2 linked regions of the Drosophila melanogaster genome follow. The protein of the gene in region 1 interacts with the protein of each later gene in a pairwise test. Each region holds a gene or a part of one and is shown on either strand. Other genes may lie near its edges. The genes, in order: NitFhit and CG3880.

Region 1 (4,012 bases):
ATGATTTATAATTTTAAGGTTTGTTCCCGATAGCAAAAATCACGTTCTTTATGATGCATAAACGTTATGTCGCGCCCATTCGCAGTAAATATTTACTATCCGACGGGTTTTTAGCTTGCACACACCGCTATCGTAACGATTTGCAAAGAGAAGGCTCGCTCACCTTATCTCTTATCGCATAATTTCCGTCGAATATGTCGACAAGATTCCAATAACTAATTTTAGTGTGAAACAATCTCGCGAGAAAGCGTGCTGGCATTTATTGACTGTAAAGGTGAACTCTGGACACCACGTAAAAAAAATGGATTCTCCCACAACCGAAACGACACCGCCTCCACCCACGCTATCTGGTCCATTCGTTGGGGCTATTGACGAGGGAACCACTTCCGCGCGATTTATTATATTTCGTGCGGGCACTGACGAAATTGTGTGCTTTCATCAGATTGAAGTGGAGTCTATTTTCCAGAAGGAGGGATGGTGCGAGCAGGATCCCATGGCCATAGTGAATACGGTCAACGAGTGCATCACCGGTGCCTGCAAGAAACTTGTGGCCGTGGGCGGGAAGGTTGAGGTACGTCAATTTCAGATGAATCGATTCCCTCATCTGATCTATTCCGAAATGGCCGATTGAAAATCTATCTCTTTATTATATGTTCTTCATAAATCACATGGCAGGAAAAGGGGTGGGGTAAAAAGCTAGCTTATGTCCGTCAGAAATTTGCGATAAATTTGCGCCTCCTCGATCCTTTCCTCGATGGTACGCGGAGGCTTCTCCTCGGCGCGCTCATCTAGTTTCACGTAGATCTGGTCATTGTGCCCGAAGTCTCCCAGACGGCGGGGCATTATATGAAAGTGTACATGGGGAACAGTTTGTCCCGCCTGTGCACCATCTTGCACAGTGACGGTGGCGGAAGTTGTCTGGTAAATCTTCTCAAGCAATCTTTGCACCAGACACACAGTGGTGAACATATCCGCCATTTCGGCACAGTCGAGGCCACAAAGGCGCGGAGTCACTCGCTTAGTGGACACAAGGACGTGACCCTTTACAACACAGCGCAGGTTGGTGAATGCAAAGCAGTGCTCAGACTCATAAAAAATTGTGCGCTTGTCCACGATATTAGTGGCAAATGGTCGATCCTGGGTTGGTTCTTTGCTACGAAGGTTGTAGGCTGTTAAGGCGTAGATGTCGTTTCGACGATGTTCGAAGCAGGGCATGGTCTGATACAGAGATTGAAGCACGGAAAGGTCCACCTCGGCCGTGCCTATATCAAGCTCCTGCTCGCTGCAGTCAGCCAGTACGTTTCCCCAGGGGCTAACGATCATGCTGTGGCCCCAACTCTGTCGCTTCTGGTTGTGCCAACCTATCTGAGCCGCAGCGACCACAAAGCATTGAGTCTCTATGGCTCTGGCCCGCAGGAGGATTTCCCAGTGCGCCTTACCGGTTGCGTATGTGAATGCGGATGGGTATGTTAACAAATTGGCACCCAGCTTCCTGAGCAGCACCGCCGGCTCAGCAAAACGCAGGTCGTAGCAAATCTGAAGCCCTATCTGGCCAACTGGAGTGCTCACTGGGCGCTCAAGGCAGTATCCCGGCGTAACTGTATCTGATTCGCGTAGGCGAACCTCTTTAGTCGTAACATCAAACATGTGCAGCTTTCTGTATACTGCTGCTAGTTCCCCTTTCTCGTTGAGCAAAACATGAGCGTTGAAGATTTTTTGATCGTTCCGCTCGTGCACGCCACCCAGGGAAATCCAAATTTTGTTGCACTTCGCCAATTCCCGGTACTGCGCCATTAACTCGCCGTCCAAGCCCTCGGAGAGCTCAATAGTTTGGGTCCGGCTCTCGCCCACAAAGTCACAGCACTCAGGCAGAAAGAGCATGCAGGCGTTCTGTGACTTGGCCCTATCCACTAGCTCTATCACTTGGCTAAGATTAGCCGCCTTGTCGCTGGTAGAGCGCATCTGACCCACAGCAATGGTCGCACTTTGATCCTTCCTCTTTTGGACGGACATCCTGCGTAGCTGCTGATGAATGGCGATCACAATGCTGCGTCTCGTGGTATTAACTAGAGTTGACATTGAAACGGGTCGCCGGCTGTGGAAAATTTTCGAATCGTTACGTCGTAAGATGTTATCAATTATTTTTACCTAGTTGTTTACTGCGCTGCTCTCTTTACCATTCCCCTAGCTTACGGCGTTTCCCAGAGAATGGCAAACAAGTGTGTACACACACAACCAAGGAAAGAATATACAAGAGTTGACCGTTTTAACTTAATTCGAATATTTGAAATAGAATCCTAAGCTTTCGCCTCGTTTCAGGAAATAATCACGATTGGAATAACAAACCAACGCGAGTCCACAGTCGTATGGGATAGAAACTCCGGCCAACCGCTGGTGAACGCTATCATCTGGCTAGACAATCGTACCACCAGCACGGTGGAGGAGCTTTTGGAGACTATTCCGAACAATGCCAGGAACATCAACTACCTGCGCCCATTGTGCGGACTTCCTCTGTCTCCGTACTTTTCGGGCGTGAAACTACGCTGGCTTCGAGACAACGTGCCGGTTGTCAGCCAGGCTATGGAGAAGGGCACGGCCATGTTTGGCACCATCGACACCTGGCTAATGTATAATCTTACGGGCGGGAAGGACTGTGGTGTCCACAAGACGGATGTGACCAACGCTTCGCGCACTATGCTCATGAACATCGAGACCCTTCAGTGGGATGCCAACTTGCTAAAGTTCTTTGGGCTGCCCAAGACCATTTTGCCGGAGATCTGCTCGAGCTCAGAGTTCTATGGCAGCATTGCGCAGGGCGTTCTGCAAGGCATAGGCATAACATCGGTTCTGGGCGACCAGCAAGCCGCTCTAGTGGGTCAACAATGCCTGGCCAAAGGTCAGGCCAAAGCCACTTATGGCACTGGATGTTTTCTGCTTTATAACACAGGACCTTCAATTGTACACTCAACGCACGGATTACTAACGACTGTTGGCTACCAACTAGGACGGAAGGCAGTCCCATTTTACGCCCTTGAGGGAAGCGTGTCCATTGCCGGTGCAGCATTCAACTGGCTGCGCGACAACATGAACCTTATTCAAAACTCGGGGCAGATCGAAACCATGGCTAGCACTGTGGACAACTCTCTTGACGTATACTTCGTACCAGCTTTCAATGGACTCTACGCCCCCTACTGGAATCAGGACGCTCGCGGTGTCATTTGTGGACTGAGTGAAGAAACAACAAGTGAGCACATAGTAAGAGCCACCCTGGAAGCAGTTTGTTTCCAGGTCCGTGATATTCTCGATTCGATGCACAAGGACTGCAAGATTCCACTGGCCAAGCTTATGGTAGACGGGGGCATGACTGTGAATAATCTGTTCCTGCAGCTTCAATCCGACCTAGTAGGAATTCAAGTACTCCGGGCGAAGATCGCAGAGACAACAGCGCTGGTTAGTACTTTAACTTGTGATGTAAATGCAGCTTCAATAATGCTTCAAAAATGCTTTAGGGAGCTGCAATGGCAGCCTACAAAGCCGTTGAAAACCGATACCAAATGGAGGCTCCACTCTCTAAATCTGGCCCCCGAGAAGCCATAAAGCCATCGATCAGTGCCACCGATCGCAACCTGCGCTACCAAAAGTGGAAAATGGCTATCGATCGTTCACTGAACTGGGAGACTTCGACGCTTCCACAGGGCGAACGGGAGGCCTTTGACGGAGCGTGATCACAGCTAATGTCTGGTAACGTTCATGTTCTTCTATTCGTAAATCAATTGCTTGGTTTTTCGTATTCGAAATTTCCATTTATTACATATACATATAAAAATGTTAATTAAAAACGTAAAGTGTTTTTCTGTGCGCTGTGATGCTCTGGCAGTGTGTTCCGACTACCAGCCGGTCAGTTGATCTACATATTTTCATCAACTATTCCGACGGCAACAGCGATCGCTGCCTGGTCCAACTCGTTGAGCATTACAACGCCCCCGGCCGCCTCGTCGACGGCTACCACGAC
Region 2 (4,635 bases), on another chromosome or scaffold:
CAGTCGCCATCTGACTACGGTGAGGAGCAGCCTCCGGAGGGTTATTACGCCTTCGTCGAGTCCCCGAATGCGGTGCCTCCCAAGGTCAGGCCGCCACCTTACACCTTTGTAAATGCGGAGTGCAAGGACGTGGCCGCCGGCAAGAAGTCTGCCGTGTCCGTTCACAACATTTGCGGAGATCTAAACAAGGGTCAGATACCCAAGAATCCGCTGGGACAAAATGTACTCGGGGAGCCCTATCCCTTGTAGGTGAAAATATTTGCGTAACAAATTTCAGACATCTCTAATGTACACCTCCTCCACAGCGAACTTATTCGCAACCAAACGCTGAAGTTCCTTTCGAAAACTTTGCCCGTTCTAAAGGCCGACGATACCCTACCCAAGGTCACCCAGATCATTCGAGATGAACCCGTGGAACAGCTGGACAGCAACAACATCGACAGGCCCTATCCCGCAGGAGGTTCCACTCGCGTCCGCCGCAGCCTGCCGGAGGGCGTGGAGTCCAACGAGTACAGCTACTTCGATCCCGCCCTGGACGAGGAGGAGCAACACAAGCAAAGGGATCGGAATAACCAGCAGAGAAGGGCCGCCGAGGAGAGGAAGCCAAGGAAATTCTGCGATGGCGGTGGAGTGTAAGTTTTTAGCATGGAAACGGGGGAGTAGAGTTATTCCAATCTTAACTGCTACATAAATGAAAGATAAATATATCGTATTTCTTAAAGCACGGGAAAGGCGCGCATATAAAGCTAAAGAGGTCACCACTTAAAAATTATGAGTCATCTTTATAAAATTATAGATTCGAAGAATTATCAAGGCAAAGAACCCAAATGAGCTTGTCATTTCACTTTCCACATCATAATGTAAAGCCATACAACTAAAGAAGCTCAACACTTTAATCGACATCCATAGATATTGTAGAATAGGTTAAGAGAGGAGTACATCATGGGGTATTCAACTGCTTAGCATTTTGACGACACAACTGCGTGCAGGTCAATTAATAAAAGATTTTTAAACTTTTAACTCCACCCACAGATTTTGCACCTTATACAGGGCAATTCAGGGAGACACCGGAGGAGCAGCCCCTGCCACGCCCACTGCGGAAAGGCGCGAGGAGGTGGGTCCCATCCGGTACGAGGGTCCTCCCACTCCCTGTCCCGCCAAGGTAGAGTACGCTACTCCCGTCTTCGCTAAGAACTACCAAGGCGCCTGGCGTTATGTGGTCCAGATTCCCTATGAGGGCTACTTCACCCAGACGGTGGAGGTGACGCGTTGCATTCAGGCACGCTGTCACTACCTGGACGGCGGTTGCTTGTCGTCACCACGCTGGGTAAGCCTGTTGGTGGCGGAGATCTTCTACCCCAATGCGGAGGACACAGTGCCCACCAGCTCGACCACCACTCAGGCCCCTTCTGTGCAGGATTTCCAGGCCTACCAGCAGTACCTGCAGAAGAGGGCAGGCGTGGCTACCGCCTCCGACGGAACCTCGTCTGGAGCAGCCGGCCCCGCGGCGCAGGTGGACGCCCACTGCGATGGACACGATGAACTGGGCTGCTTCCAGGTGCGTCTCTACTACGACTGGTTCCTCATCCCCGGCTCTTGCAAGTGCTGGCGCCCGGACTACTTCGCCAAGTACGTGCGCCGGAAGTCGGTGGCCGAGTTGTGAACACTTCCTGGACAGGATTTTCGAAGGAAATCCTTAGAATAAGACTAAGTTCTAGCCTTTAGAGGAACACAACTTTGAGGTGAAAGGCTCATTCTAGTAATCCACCCGGGTGCCCCACAGCCCTATACGGATCACGCAGAGTTTGCAGTTCGTGCATCTACCAGATACAATCTTAACCTAGGCGGTTAGCTCCCTCTTTCGACTGATTAAGCCAAGAGCAGTGCATTTCTACTAATAAATACGTTTCTACCTAATCATAAGAGAGCCTCTCTATTCGGCACTTTGCTGAGACTGCGATGTGGTATTGGCCTAGCCTGTGTGTGTTAGCCTCCTGGAACTCTCTCAGCTGCGCTTGTGTTGGAAGATCCACCGAAAACCCACAGAAACCAGTCGCGCAAGTTGCGCATGCGTGCGAGACTCGGGCCCAAAACCTCGGCCGCTGATCTAGTGTGCAGTCAATATAACCAGTTGGTTGGCTTTGGGTGTTTTGGCCGGGGATCCAAGCGACCGAGCTGCATTACATACACAGAATAGTTGCAGAGTTTGCGCAGAAGCCTTGACGAACGGCCTCAAAAGGCTGCCAGACGAGCCGCGGACTCGGATTTCAGGAGCCAATTTTCCGCATAGCTTGGGTAAGTCAGCCAAATGGAGGGCCGTCTCTTTGTTTATAAACAAAATAAGCAACCAAAGTGGACTAAGGTACAGATGCAGCTGCGATAATAACATTGAGTAAACTTGGTACTTGAAGGCAAGAAACTAACAAAATCATTCATTTGCACGTCTCAGTTGAGCCCATTTAAATAAAATTGTAGAGTTTGAAATCAAGTAATTTTGTGTGGCGACTAGACGATTTTATAAAAATAAATTTGTTAAAACTGCTTGTAAATAAGTGGGAAATATCTTAGCTCAGAGATTCAGTCCTAAGGCAGCGTGCCAGATTCACACACATTCCATTTGGAGTTACCCATGCAAATGAGCTCCTATTAATATAAGTTATGCATTGGTGCCAAGCGTGGGACTATACGATTCATAATCTCATCCCACTTTCCATTTTGCGCCATCCGCAGACGAAGATGCTCCGCCAGAACAAGAATACCAGTACCAGTCTGCTGAACCTAAGCATAGGCGATGTGGGAGGCAGCCATCCACAGGGGCAGTCGCAATTTTGGGAACTGGATACGCTGCCTAAGCAGTTCGTCCTGTCCATGAAAAAGCTCTTCGACATCTTAGATGACAAGCAGACCGGATACGTGCGCTTCACGGACATCGAGAAGGGCTGGCAGGATGATGGCTCCAAGGGACTGCCACGCGGAGTTGTGGACTCACTCCGTCGGGTCACTCCCAGTAGCGGACTTCTCTCCTTCGAGCGGTTCTGCGCCGGCCTCAAGCTGTGCCTGCTCCGCAATCAGCAAAACGCTGTGGAAGACCTGAAGTTGCGGCCTCGTTCCCACGGAACTCTTGCTCCGGAGATGGAGTTCCATTCTCCTGCTCCGCCGCCAAAACCTCCACGACAGGTACCCAAGTCCCCTGCTCTGGGTAAAGACGACATTCGCCATGCCCTCCAAAACTGGCAACTGAACCTGATGGCGGACGCAGGAAAGTCAAAAACGACGCAGTCGCGGGAACAATTCGAACACCGTGGATCGGCTGACGGTGGCTCTTCCTCCACCTCTGCTTCGGCCACCGACTGGAGCCTGGCCCTTCCGGCTGTGCCCAAGAAGACCAGCAGCAAGCGCAGAGAGTCGCGGAGGCACACTCTGCAACACGGCATCGATTACAACATGCTAAAAAGACTGAAGCAATTGGAGGAGCAGCGGGAACTGCTTCTTTTCGGACTCGATGGCGTGGAGAAGGCACGCGATTGGTATATGATGCAGGTGCTCAATGTACAGGAGCAGATAAAGTATTTCGGCCGTTTAGGAACCCGATTTGTAAGTAGTCCTCTAGCTTGTAATTAATAGTTACCCCTTTCCTGATTTTCGCACAGGATCAGTGGTCTGAACTGCAGCAAGAAAGGCTAAACTTTCAACGCGCCCGCGTTTTTGAGGCCAATCGCAGCCTCCAGATTCTGGCCGACACCTGGGAGCACGGCGGCTACCCACTGCACATTAATTTGGCTGTGCCGACACCCACCGTCCCAAAACCGAGGCAGATGTCCGATCTGCTCAGTCGGGTTCGCGAGAAGCCGCCGCTTCTGTCAGACTTGTACGAGGCGCAGCACTCTCATTCCCATCCGCAGTTCCTGCGTGCCATGCCCAACTTCGTGCTCAGCCAGCCCTCGCCGGTCAGCCAATCCTCGGCCGGGCTGGGAGACGCCGACGTGGTCTACTGACGAATCAATGCTGCTGCGTACATTGTAAATAGTGTATTATTAAACAACTTGAACTATGTAAAGCTATACGGGATTGGGGTAGCGGCGCATGTACTTGTTAAGTTGCTTGTAGTTCAGGTTGCTGCCCGGTTGGACGATTCCCTGGTTCACGGTCTTCTTCGCCTCAAACTTACGGTCCATGTAGCACTTGTAGCAGTTCTGGAACTGGCTGATCTCCTTGTGGCAGTACTTCTCCACGAATTCGTTGTCTTTCAAGCAGGCGAACAGCACGCCCATCTCCTGGAGACAGGCCACATCGGATCCGGAGTCCGCCTTCCCGCTCACGGTGTTCTTCAGCCGCAGAGGCAGAATCTCCTGGAAGGGCACGTCCTTCTCGCTTTGAGGCGCTCGGCCGCGCGCGGCAAACAGGGCTCCGGGTACGCGCATCTGAAACCCCTTGGCTCTGTGAGTCCGGTCATTTCAGTCAAAAAATACGATTTTACCCACCTCGTAATTTCCACCGACTCCTGGACAACTGAACAGCTGCTTCAGATTACGTCACGAACTGGTTCCTGCTTTTGGTGGTGATTGCCAGTACGTCTGCAGCCCTGGTATTTCGTTTAACATAAGCATACGGTCACACTTAGAGTCTCCGTGGAAC

The links.
Region 2: the proteins of NitFhit (region 1) and CG3880 interact in a two-hybrid assay, tested with the Drosophila melanogaster proteins (one large-scale study listed by BioGRID).

The regions. Positions count from the first base shown.
Region 1 is NT_037436.4:201,927-205,938, reverse strand, and holds NitFhit (nitrilase and fragile histidine triad fusion protein), read right to left. Parts: upstream 2,210-4,012; 5' UTR 2,149-2,209; intron 2,096-2,148; 5' UTR 2,080-2,095; coding exon 697-2,079; 3' UTR 630-696; downstream 1-629. Other genes in the region: Gk1 (glycerol kinase 1), read left to right, coding at 302-571, 2,320-3,450, 3,510-3,725; mri (mrityu), read right to left, coding at 3,908-4,012. UniProt on the Drosophila melanogaster protein: Cleaves A-5'-PPP-5'A to yield AMP and ADP.
Region 2 is NT_033778.4:24,758,552-24,763,186, forward strand, and holds CG3880 (uncharacterized protein), read left to right. Parts: upstream 1-2,112; 5' UTR 2,113-2,295; intron 2,296-2,730; 5' UTR 2,731-2,736; coding exon 2,737-3,594; intron 3,595-3,650; coding exon 3,651-3,995; 3' UTR 3,996-4,054; downstream 4,055-4,635. Other genes in the region: spz6 (spatzle 6), read left to right, coding at 1-245, 306-632, 1,033-1,663; CG12848 (uncharacterized protein), read right to left, coding at 4,059-4,421.